Drosophila melanogaster: one gene and its partner. The protein of the gene in region 2 purifies or fractionates together with the protein of the main gene of each other region. This does not show direct contact. Each region holds a gene or a part of one and is shown on either strand. Other genes may lie near its edges.

Evidence for each region.
Region 1: the proteins of Cks85A (region 2) and Cdk2 purify together in Drosophila melanogaster (affinity purification with western blotting, with the first as the bait; one study listed by BioGRID). This does not show direct contact.

The regions. Positions count from the first base shown.
Region 1 is NT_033777.3:20,733,845-20,739,120, forward strand, and holds Cdk2 (Cyclin-dependent kinase 2), read left to right. Parts: upstream 1-1,778; 5' UTR 1,779-1,852; coding exon 1,853-1,980; intron 1,981-2,078; exon of another isoform or gene 2,079-2,168; intron 2,169-2,246; coding exon 2,247-2,442; intron 2,443-2,496; coding exon 2,497-2,607; intron 2,608-2,666; coding exon 2,667-2,828; intron 2,829-2,887; coding exon 2,888-3,085; intron 3,086-3,140; coding exon 3,141-3,290; 3' UTR 3,291-3,340; exon of another isoform or gene 3,341-3,415; 3' UTR 3,416-3,521; coding exon of another isoform or gene 3,522-4,490; 3' UTR 4,491-4,570; downstream 4,571-5,276. UniProt on the Drosophila melanogaster protein: Like Cdk1, could play a key role in the control of the eukaryotic cell cycle.
Region 2 is NT_033777.3:8,714,699-8,720,707, forward strand, and holds Cks85A (Cyclin-dependent kinase subunit 85A), read right to left. Parts: upstream 3,759-6,009; 5' UTR 3,639-3,758; exon of another isoform or gene 3,345-3,638; coding exon of another isoform or gene 3,151-3,344; intron 2,644-3,150; coding exon of another isoform or gene 2,427-2,643; exon of another isoform or gene 2,198-2,426; intron 1,871-2,197; exon of another isoform or gene 1,545-1,870; intron 1,182-1,544; exon of another isoform or gene 1,118-1,181; 5' UTR 1,100-1,117; coding exon 1,041-1,099; intron 971-1,040; coding exon 739-970; 3' UTR 502-738; downstream 1-501. Other genes in the region: CG8112 (uncharacterized protein), read left to right, coding at 1-478; TMEM216 (transmembrane protein 216), read left to right, coding at 2,427-2,643, 3,151-3,344; CG11760 (uncharacterized protein), read left to right, coding at 4,635-4,890, 5,106-5,299.

The DNA of each region.
Region 1 (5,276 bases), about 12 Mb from region 2:
ATTTAAATCTCGCTGATCCCCGCCTTTATTCTCAAAGACCCTTCTCCTCTGGCCAGCAGTTCAAGAAAATGATCGAGTGCAAGACCAGTAAACCGAGAAGATAGTCGAGAGCAATTCAACTGGCTGGGCAGGATTAGGTACACCAGGTCAGCTGGTTGGGTGTGGTATCCCTGCTCCGGAGTGGCCGTAACCATGTCCTTGTGCCTGCTCACTGTGTTATATTCCTGGATAAGGGCGATGCCTACAGCTTTATGTTTGGAAACAGAAGTCGCCTTTTTTATTCACCCAGAGTATCGTTCCGTCTTACGATGTTGCCGTCCTTAAACTGAACTCCCAACTGAGATCCTGTTTGTCTGTATCGGAGGATACAGATTCCCATGACGTGATCGCCCGACTATTCAATGTGGTCAGTACGCTGGTGGATAAGCATCCGAAAAGCCTTCATACCCTGGCCAGAGTCACGAGTGCGTGCGTACACCAGGATAAAGATTTCCTAACTGGTGCAGCTCTATTTGGGATGAAAATTGTAGATGGATCTGAAGCTTGGCATCTTTTGTGAATATCAACGCACGGCCAGTACGAAAGAAACCACAAGATACCAATAATTGGATTGGGAACCATCTTAGTCTATAACTAAGTGTCCGGAAGAAATGTAAAAATGATTGAAAATAGTAGATAAATGGCATTTACTAATCATTAAATTCAGAACAAAGTTTCATTCAAAGTTAAAGAGTCCTCTTCACACATATTGTATGTACATACTTAACTAAATACCTGTTGGAAAAGTAGATTGCATTGCGACAATAAGAAACACCTTCACACTTTATCTGCAAGAGGTTATTGTTCTCAGTGTGCAAAATCATTGTGATTTCCTCGATCGGAAAATACTTTGTTGTGAGCGAGATGACAGTAAGCGAGGTTCTACTGGTTATACTGGTTATGCGTAAGTGATGTAACCCAATTACTTTATTATGCTTATCTACCAATTTTCTTTATTTATACTTATAAGCCACTGGTATAATCACTGAAGTTCAGCGCTGTGGAAGACCGTTGGAAAATCAGCTTTACAACGACAAAACATTCGCGGAACAGGATGAGCATCCTTGGCTGGGACGTATACTCTTCAGGGATGGAAATCAATTTACCACCTGCTATCGCTGCACCGTCGTACTGCTCAATCCGCGTCGTGGCCTAGCGCCAGCTCTCTGCGTGGATGGAAGGACCAAAGACCCTTATTCTAGTGTCTTTGGAAGGACCATCCGCGGAGCTCCTTTGCATCCAGACGCTATCCTGGCAGGAGTTCGCCTAGTAAATGGGGAACCGAGACAGTACTATATTATCCGGCAGCTCTTGGCCAAATTTGATTCGGTTTTTTCAGGAGCAGATCTTTTCATGTACATCGCACCCTACATTAATTGGATAGAGGCGAGAATCAACGTATTAAACGAACGTCACATTTCATTAAAAACATATATTTAATTAGTTAAAAGAGTAAATTTAGAAACCATTAAGAAACTGCATAAATACGATTTTTGCTTTAACTTTATTTATCAATTTTAAATGTCTTGATCCAACTGTGATAGGCATTAACGGGTCTCAACGGTTAATTTTATTTTTTATTTTAAAAGTTTTGTGCAAAGAAGAAAACAATACATTTAAAATAGGGGTAGTCAACCTTAGAGCTGTCACATCGCAGAACAATCGATTAAGGAATTCTTATCGATATGTGGCGCTGCTGTGCGACTTATCGGCGGTTGCATGAGAATGGCTAGCATCACCAAAGAAGAAGAATTTCCCTCCAAAATATTAGTTTATTTTGCCAACATCGATCTCAAGGATTGTTTACGAGGTTATGACCACCATTCTAGATAACTTTCAACGCGCCGAAAAGATTGGCGAGGGCACCTACGGTATAGTTTACAAAGCGCGTAGCAACTCCACCGGCCAGGATGTGGCCCTCAAAAAGATTCGGCTAGAAGGGTGCGTAATCCAGGTGGAGCAGGACTGTGATGCTGTTCATGGCAACCATAGGAAATATTATGTGACATATGGACATATTATCCTTGACGAATGTCATCCACCTGCACCCCGCAGCCCGAATTATGTGGGAGCTGCGCCGTTTCCGTAATCCGTAGCACCACATGATTCGGCTTCGTGGTACAGGATATCATCGGTTTTTGCTAGCAAACGGGTAATCACGATTGCCAGTATTTAGCTTTATTTAATAGCATAATTCCGATTCACAGCGAAACGGAGGGTGTTCCTTCGACGGCCATTCGAGAGATCTCCCTGCTGAAGAACCTTAAGCACCCAAATGTGGTCCAACTATTTGACGTAGTCATTTCCGGCAACAATCTGTACATGATATTCGAGTACCTGAACATGGATCTAAAGAAGCTGATGGATAAGAAAAAAGACGTGTTCACCCCTCAGTTGATAAAGGTAAGTACACTAGTTTGCAGCCCATTAAAATATTTTCACATTGCCACTTTGCAGAGCTATATGCATCAGATATTAGATGCCGTCGGCTTTTGCCACACGAATCGTATCCTGCATCGCGATCTCAAGCCCCAGAACCTTCTCGTAGACACGGCGGGCAAAATAAAGGTGAGACTAAAGGTTTTACCCGCTGTTGGTTCTGTGATAATAACGAATTCCAACTCCAGTTGGCTGACTTTGGCCTAGCAAGGGCCTTCAACGTGCCTATGCGGGCGTACACACACGAAGTCGTCACCCTCTGGTACCGAGCTCCAGAGATTCTGTTGGGCACGAAATTCTACTCCACGGGCGTGGACATCTGGAGTCTAGGCTGCATTTTCTCTGAAATGGTAGTGTTATATGGAATGTACATTCCAAGCGGATCTGATTACTAAACCTAGAATTACAGATTATGCGCCGCTCCTTGTTTCCTGGAGACAGCGAGATCGATCAACTTTATAGGATTTTCCGTACCTTAAGCACACCTGATGAAACAAATTGGCCTGGTGTGACGCAGCTGCCAGACTTTAAGACCAAGTTCCCTAGATGGGAGGGAACTAACATGCCACAACCCATAACCGAACACGAGGCGCACGAACTCATAATGGTGAGTGCAGAAAATGTACATCCCCAATGGAAATCCACTACTCTGTACCTTACAGTCAATGCTGTGCTATGATCCCAACCTGCGCATCTCAGCCAAGGACGCACTGCAGCACGCTTACTTCCGCAATGTGCAGCATGTTGACCATGTAGCCCTGCCTGTAGATCCCAATGCCGGCAGCGCTTCGCGTCTAACGCGGCTCGTCTGATCGTGTCCAATAGCCCCAGATCTAGCAAATTACTTGTGTTTTCTAGTATAGTAAGTTCGATGTCTATCTCACTATCTTTAAGGCGAAACTAGTAAAATTATTTGAATATCTAATCTATTTTACAGCTGCCACCTCATTATCATGCATTCCCCATCCTAACTCGCACGTAACATACGATAAATACACGATCATCCATAAGTAAAGAGTTTATAGTTTATAGCTTAGCATGGATTACCAGGAGCTCAGCCGGGCAAGGTGTCGTTGATGATGGCGTGGCGAAACTTTGGCGGCGGAATCGTTAGCCCCTGCTGCATCGCTAGCGAGTCTCTGGCGCTGGCGGGTGTGGCTATCGTCGCGCATATACGTGCCAAGAGTATTGCGCATGCTCTCGGAGAGCGGTGAATGGGCTTCGACATCACCATCGTCGTCATCGCTAGTCGGTGCATCGCTCGGTGCGCTGCTGTCTGTTTCCTCTGCTGCATCTTCATTCTCAATGGGATGCTCCGGTTTGCTGACTTCTAATAGCTTCGTCAATGATTGGCCCTTGGCCGACAATAGGGGCAGTGGTCGAAGTAGGGTCACCTTTCTGGTTCCGAGTCTTCTCATTACGGGCGCCTCTTCCTCATGCTCGCCTTCCACATCCTCTGCCTCCCTAGGCGGCGGAATAAAAAGCTGCCGTAAAAATTAGATTGGAAATCCTGAGGACTGAAGCGCTGTACTCCGTAGTAGCTACCGGAATTGGTGTCGTAGAAGAACATCGGCTCGGCGGACCGCGGCGGAGAAGGTGGCACAAAGTAGGGATCGTAAGGGCTGTAGGCATCATCGTTCTCCGCCGAGTCGTAGCTCGGTCGGCGCTTTTGTTGCTTGCGGCGCTTTCGCTTGCGTTTTTTGGTAGCCTGTGAGGCCACTTGAGCTGGTTCCTCAAGCTGCAGCTCCTGATCTTCATCGTAGGACTGCAGATAAACCGGCGACGTCTCGATGATGTTCGTACTGCCATCGTTAAAGAAGTTGGCCAACGGATTGGTCAGGTTACGGAAACTGAAAGCGGGCTGAACACTGCGGACGAAGCTATTCCAAACACGAACCAACGGGCGTTCAGTTGTTGTAGGAGCTGCTTTTCCCAGACTATGAATATAGCGCCTTCTGTATCCACCACGAGCACTCGGCAACAGGACATACTCGATGGGATAGTTTCTGGAGCTAGAATAAAAATTTCGTTCAAAGTTTAACTTTAAAATGTCATAGTTATACTTTTTTCAACTCAAATATAATTGTTTTATAAAAAAATGTATCCTATATAAGCATATAGTTGTTTGAATTGTTTATGTGATATCTATAATATGCAATAATAATCTACTATGAATTATTGGATTAAATAAGGTTCAGAAAATACCAAAAAGTGGTTATATAAATGTCATATCTGTCGAAAATCAAAACTTCATTGTTAGTCGTCAACGTTTGCTCACCCAATCTTTGCCTGCTTTTGCGGCAAGCGTCGCTCCATCTCGTTTGCGGATATCCTTACTCCTTGCGAAGGACAACTCCATGCTACAAAAAGCACTAGGGCAGTAAACAATTGCCACTGCATTGCTGTATACAATATGTTCGTCGGGCTTACTATATAGTATTTCGAATGCGTCCGTTACCGTTCCCGGTCGAAGGGAAACTGAAACTCATCCGAATCGCGAAATCAGTGGTCAACAGCTCGACGGTGATGCCTTTGTCTTTTTGACCAGCTCGTTGGATTAGTTTTTATTGGTTCACAGAACGGTTAGCCACAGTCTTAGCCAAATTGATTTGTAATGGCATTGTCCCGAGCCCCAGATCATTTCCAAAGCTATGGCCATGTTGGTGGCCCTAACTCATGCCGACACTAAGCCAACTAACCCAATTTGGAGACCATCTTCATATCTCCCGCGGGGCTCGTTGGCAGCTGCCAATCTCGCCCATGCATATGTAAATGGATTTTTATAGATTACACAATTA
Region 2 (6,009 bases):
GAACTTCACGTCGGAGCTGCTACGCTTCGGTGATCGAATGTTCTACAAGGACTGGTGGACGTCGCACACTTACGATGGCTACTACAGAAACTGGAATGTCGTCGTGCACGACTGGCTGTACGAGTACGTGTACAAGGATATGTACACTCATGTGTTCCGAGGTTCCAAGGTGGCCGCCTCGCTGGCAGTGTTCATGATCTCCGCTGTGGTCCATGAGCAGGTTCTCGGCTTTGCCCTGCAAATGTTCTTCCCAGTGATGTTCTTCTTCTTTGGGGTCGTGGGTGTTGCCTTGGTATTCCTAATGCGGAGTGCTCCAAAAGTGATGGGCAACATCTTTCTGTGGTTCTCTCTGATCCTGGGAAATGCCACGCTGATCTCACTATACGCCATGGAGCATTACGCCCTAAAGAACTGCAACCTAAGCAACGAGAGTTGGACGTATCGCCTGCTGCCGGCGGTATGGCGCTGCTACAATTAGTCAATTAGTTAAACACTACTTTTAAACTGTCTGTACACAGGGCGTACGCTTCGATTTGTATTTTAGGTAAATAAACTTAATGAAATTAACAGAAACGATGTCTTCAGTTCGTTTCGTGTCTTTGAACTTCCCAGCTGAACCCTAAAGCTATGGTTTCTTATTTTACATCAGGCTGCCTGATGCTAACTTATGAAATACTACGTGAGCATTGACGAGTGCGTCCTTGGAAGAGCATTCCTCGGCGGCATGGCATCCTCCGCCTAACCGCAGAGATTCGCGATGGCCTGAGCCGCATTAGCGGCTGCCACCTGTGGAGCGTCCTCTGCCGGAATGCGTTTGCGTCGGAATAGAATCACATGCGGCTCCGGCGCGTGGACCATGTAGTGCACCCAGCCGGGGCTCTGCTGCACGCCCAGGTTGCGCCACTCCGTCTCGGTCATCAGATGAGCCTTCGGCACATGTTTGGCCAAATCCGGTGGCAAGATAACATGCCTGCAGGGAGGGAAAGTGGTTTGTGTGTAAACAAACAGTTCACGGATGCTGAAACGCAAGTTGAACGTACCTGTATTCAAAGTTGTCGTCGAAGTACTTCTCTGAGTATTGAATTTGATCGGCCGGCATTGCGAAAAGCCAGAAAACCTGAGGTAAATTAAGCAATTTTACCAAAATAGGTCAATAAATTCAGATAGATATGCCACAACTGATTCGATTCTAAATACTATTGTTATCGCTGCACGTATCGAACATAAAGTTATCGATTTGGTTATCAGCTGTCCAGTTAACAGCACCTTTGGCGGTAAACTCAAATGTACTGTTTTTAATGGCACGATCTTAGCGGGCTTTAATATATTGAACATAAACTTTTTTCTGTATAACAATATTTTTGCAATGTTTAAAGCCATTTTAAAGCCATTTTGTTAAAAAAACGAGTACTTTGTAAAAAGATGCTGTTAGAAAATGTTAACATATTTAGCGAATGAAAAACTCAATTGGATAATATGTGATTTCCAGTGTGACCGGAACTCGCAGGCTCGCACATTTTCCAAATGCAATCGGCAATTTCTCCGTTACTCGCCCATGGCCACATTTGTGCATGTGCGTTTGAGGTTCCTTTCCTTTTTATATAAGCCCCTCGTCTCTTGCCAACAAACCAACAACAACAACAACCAGCCAGGCCAGCGGGCAACAACAACGCACAACAACGCGTATAAATAAACGTGAACGCATGTACTTAATATTAGCATAGAGTTGTCGCCTGCGTGCATTTCATATACATAACATAACATCCACTTACTCCCATGACAACGGGACTTTAGACAGTAACGGTGGAGCAGCTAGAAGAAGAGGAAAGGCGAAGTAGAACGGGAACAAGAAGAAAAAGCAGTGGAAGAGGTGAGGACGATACGTAAATACAGTCAAACTTCCATAAGTAGATACGACTTTACTACTACAATAAAAAGTGTCCTTTAGTGATGAAGAAAATGGGTTCTAAGAACCTAAAACCTTTATGTATATGTACTCCCTATTGTCGCTTAATGAATTTACCGTTACGGTATGCTAGTAAATAAATGCATACAATGTACATATGTAGATACATAGGCACAGCAAAACCACCTATAAATTCGATTGATTTTATGAAGTTCTAGTTGAGGAAGTTTGACTGTATGTATGCGCGCATTGGTAAATACGAGCAGACCGCAATTAGCAAATATTTTTCAGTCCAGCAGGTATCACTCACCACGTACCGCCCAAAGGTCCCAATGCTGGCGTAGAGAAGCCGAAACACCTGCTGCTGCCAGTGGAAAAGCGGGAGGAGCTGCTCCAAACTGCCCAGGTGACATCCAATCATTTAGAGGCGACGCACCTGCCGCCTTGAGGAACTGGTCGCCACGCAGGAGGACACGGATACGGCAACGGTTACGGACTCGTTTCCGCAGTAGCGGGCACCATGAACGCCAGCCTCATCTATGAGATACTTATGTATCTGAACTCGTTCTACTTTGGCATGTACGCCGCCTTCGAAGTGGGCGTGGGCGTTCTTAAGGCGATTAATCTAAACTACGGCGAGAACGCGTTGTCCCGGGAGGCCAGCATCCTGCTCTCACTGTGCATCATCGAGACCGTGCGCATTGTCTTCGGGCGGAAGAGCAGTCTAAGCGATCGTGGTGAGTAATCCCCATGATCCCCATGTTACTGCAAGGGTGGGAAAAGTCCACCGGCAGCGATGATGACATGGCGAAATTATTTGTTTGCCCGGTCACAATGCCCATTTCATGCCATCCCCCTACCTCCGGGGCCATAACCCATAAACGTTTGGACGGGCATACATACATATATGTATGATGTAGCCCACTCGGCGTATGCGTAATTATGGTCATCACCCCGGATGAAAACACGCGTTTTATGGTGGCAGGGGAAAGGCGCCCTTCTGGCACATTAAGCAATATGCAAAGGAAATCTATCAAAGCGAATCATCGAAATGAGTTATTGGAAAAGCAATTGGAGCTGTTAATATTAATTATCGCAATGTGTAAACATGAAATTATTAGTATAATACTTTAAAACACTGAATCACTTTCAATCGAATACACTTAATTATAAACAAGTAGACGAACTATACGATTTTCCGTGCATCTGTAGCTAACATTTTCCTTGTTTTTCTCTCTTTGCAGGCTGGCAAGCAACCGCATCCGTAATATTAACACTGCCCAGTCTTGCTATTGTTATCTACTTGTGTTGTTTTCAAACCTTTGTTCTCAAACTCGAAATTATTCTGAGTGCCTTAATGATCACCCTACAAGGTGCTGAACTAGTCTACGCCAGCATATTCATTTGTACAATGTGTCGCCCCGTCACATACACCTAGCAGTTGATAAGCCGCGTTGCCGCCGCCACGTCAACGACCAAGATCGAGATCAAGACCAAGCCAGCACTAACACTCCCACCTGGAGGAGAAGGAGTAGAAGCATCCACAGCCGAGCGACGACTACGACGAAGACGAAACACTTTCCTCTGGCAATTTCACATCAAACGATTCGCCAAGGCCTCAAAACTAAGCCACTTAAATGCACACTAAGCCACCGCACATAAAAACAAAACAAAAAATCTAGATCCTACTAGACCTCCTAGGAATCCGTGCCAAGACAACCCGATAACATACCCAATGGCTGGCAGTTGAGGAGGACTTTCAACAAGGTACGTGAACCTTTATAAACTTATATAATCCGCACAGATCATTCGCGCCCGCGGAAATCACATCGCAGCGAAACACGACGCGTCCGATTCTATCAAAAGCAAAGCTGCATTTAATTTGCATTTCTTGGTTGCATTCTTTTGCCCGGCCTTTGTGGCGTTGCCTCCCTGCTGGCGCAGTTGCTCCTCGGACCCGCTCGGTTCTGGTATTTTTATACGGCTCTGATGGTCTAAAATTATATGCGAACTGCACGGCTCGTGCAACACCGCTGCTGTCCCCTAGGTGCAATGTACACTTCTAATTTGAATGTAATATACACGGCCCACTGCGGGCAAGTTAGCCTGACTGTAATGGCCAAGATGAGAGGGCTCTCCGTTTGGTCTTTGGTCTAGTGAACATGCCCTGTACGATTCACAGGAGAGAGATTCACGGGACTTTAGCGAGGCATAACGCTTTGAGTTTTTAAAAATAATTAAAATTCCAACAATGGTTTTCATATATTCACCCTAAACCTATCCTGAATTTCAAGGTAACCATTTAATGGCCCTGGGCCCTGTAGAGCATAACGCCCAGGGAGTTTTTAGTAGTTTTTTCCCCCCAACTAGCCGCCAGTGAAATCATTCTCCCCCACATTTCTAGGCAGGCGATCTGCCGGCCAATGCTGACCCAAACAGCGAGCAGAGAAAACAAATAAAAGGCGACAACGACCAGCAGCACATTATTCAAATAAACAGCACATTTCGCAGCGACAAACCGTGAGACCGCCGATGTCGATGCCGCTGCCGCTGCATTGGCCAAGCACGGCAGGTTCGCGTTATTATTATGGTCAGTCTATAAATACAGTGCCCAACGTGAGCAACGCCGCCGTGTGAGCGATCCGGGAGATCAAATCGGTCCAATTTGCCGTAGACATCGAGGGGTAACAGGAGAAGCAGCAGAAGGAGGTGCTAAGCCGGCAGAAAGATGCCGCCCAAGCGTCCGCCACCGCTCGTGCCGAAGAAGCCAAATCCCAGCATGAACTACGAGGTGTTGATCTACCTCAACTCGTTCTACTTTGGCATGTTCGCCTGTTGCGAGATGGCCATGGGCCTCCTGAAGGCCATCAATCTCAGCTACACGGGACATACTCTAGCCCTGGACACGGGGGTGATGATTAGCTTCATTGTCTTTGAGACGATCCGATTGATAATGGGGCGCATGAGTTCGCTGGCCGATCGAGGTAGAAGCTCCCGCCTGCTGGCTGGTCTAATTATAGGATATTCTAAAACAATAGAATCATCCTCAATGGCGTTATCAATCGTTTAATCAAACCAAACCATTAGACTTAAGAAATACTAATTAACTCATTATCATCCTTATTTATAATTGTAATAGAATAGTATCTATGGCTTTTACAATCAGATTCTAATGAACTCTTCTGCTTTTCTATCACAGGCTGGTCGGCCATACTGTCGGTCTTCATGACCGCCCCCTGCTTTGTGGGCGTCTCCTATCTACTGCTGCTCCAGACCTACCGACTGCGCCTGGAGTACTGCCTGTGCACGCTGCAGATCGCCCTTTACCTGACCGAGGTGTGGTATGCCATCGTCTTCGTTTTCTCGCTGTGTCGTCCAGTAACTTATGATTAGCCATATAGACAGAAACATCCAACAGCCAACTAGCAGCAAATATACATGCGAAAGTTTAGCAATCTATAAGATCGAAAAAGGATAATATGCGGTGTAAGGAAATTTAATGAATTTGAAAAGCAGTAGGCAGCTGAATTGCTCATGGCCGTGGAGAAGAGAAACCAAACAGAAAGAAAAAAAAAACAAAACAAAACACATATGTAGCATATTAATAATTATGTATAGTAAGGTTTATGATAACATACACACACTCTTATATACATATATTTAACGGTTTTATATACAAAAATTGTTAACATTTAAGCATCAATTGGAACCAATATAAGACAACAAGCAAAACCTAAAACTTGAATAATTTTCACAATTTTAAGATGAAAATTTTTTTGTAAAAAGAAAAATATCGAAAAACAGCCGAAAAACAAATTTGATGTGTGGAAATAATAATTTATAATAGTTCACAGATAGCTCGAATCTTAAAAAGAATTGTAAAAAAATCAGTGGAATGTCTCACAAAATCTAGTCAGCATCAAAATCATGAAAAACAAATGGCCGAAAGGCCATTAAAAAAATTCATTACCACTAAGAGTCAGCGTTTAGTAGTTCATACCAATATTCAAAAGGCGGAGAACAACATAATTAAGCCCAGTTAAAAGTCTAGACCATGTGTGTACTTTAATGAAACTACTTTATATAAACCTAGCAAATAGCGT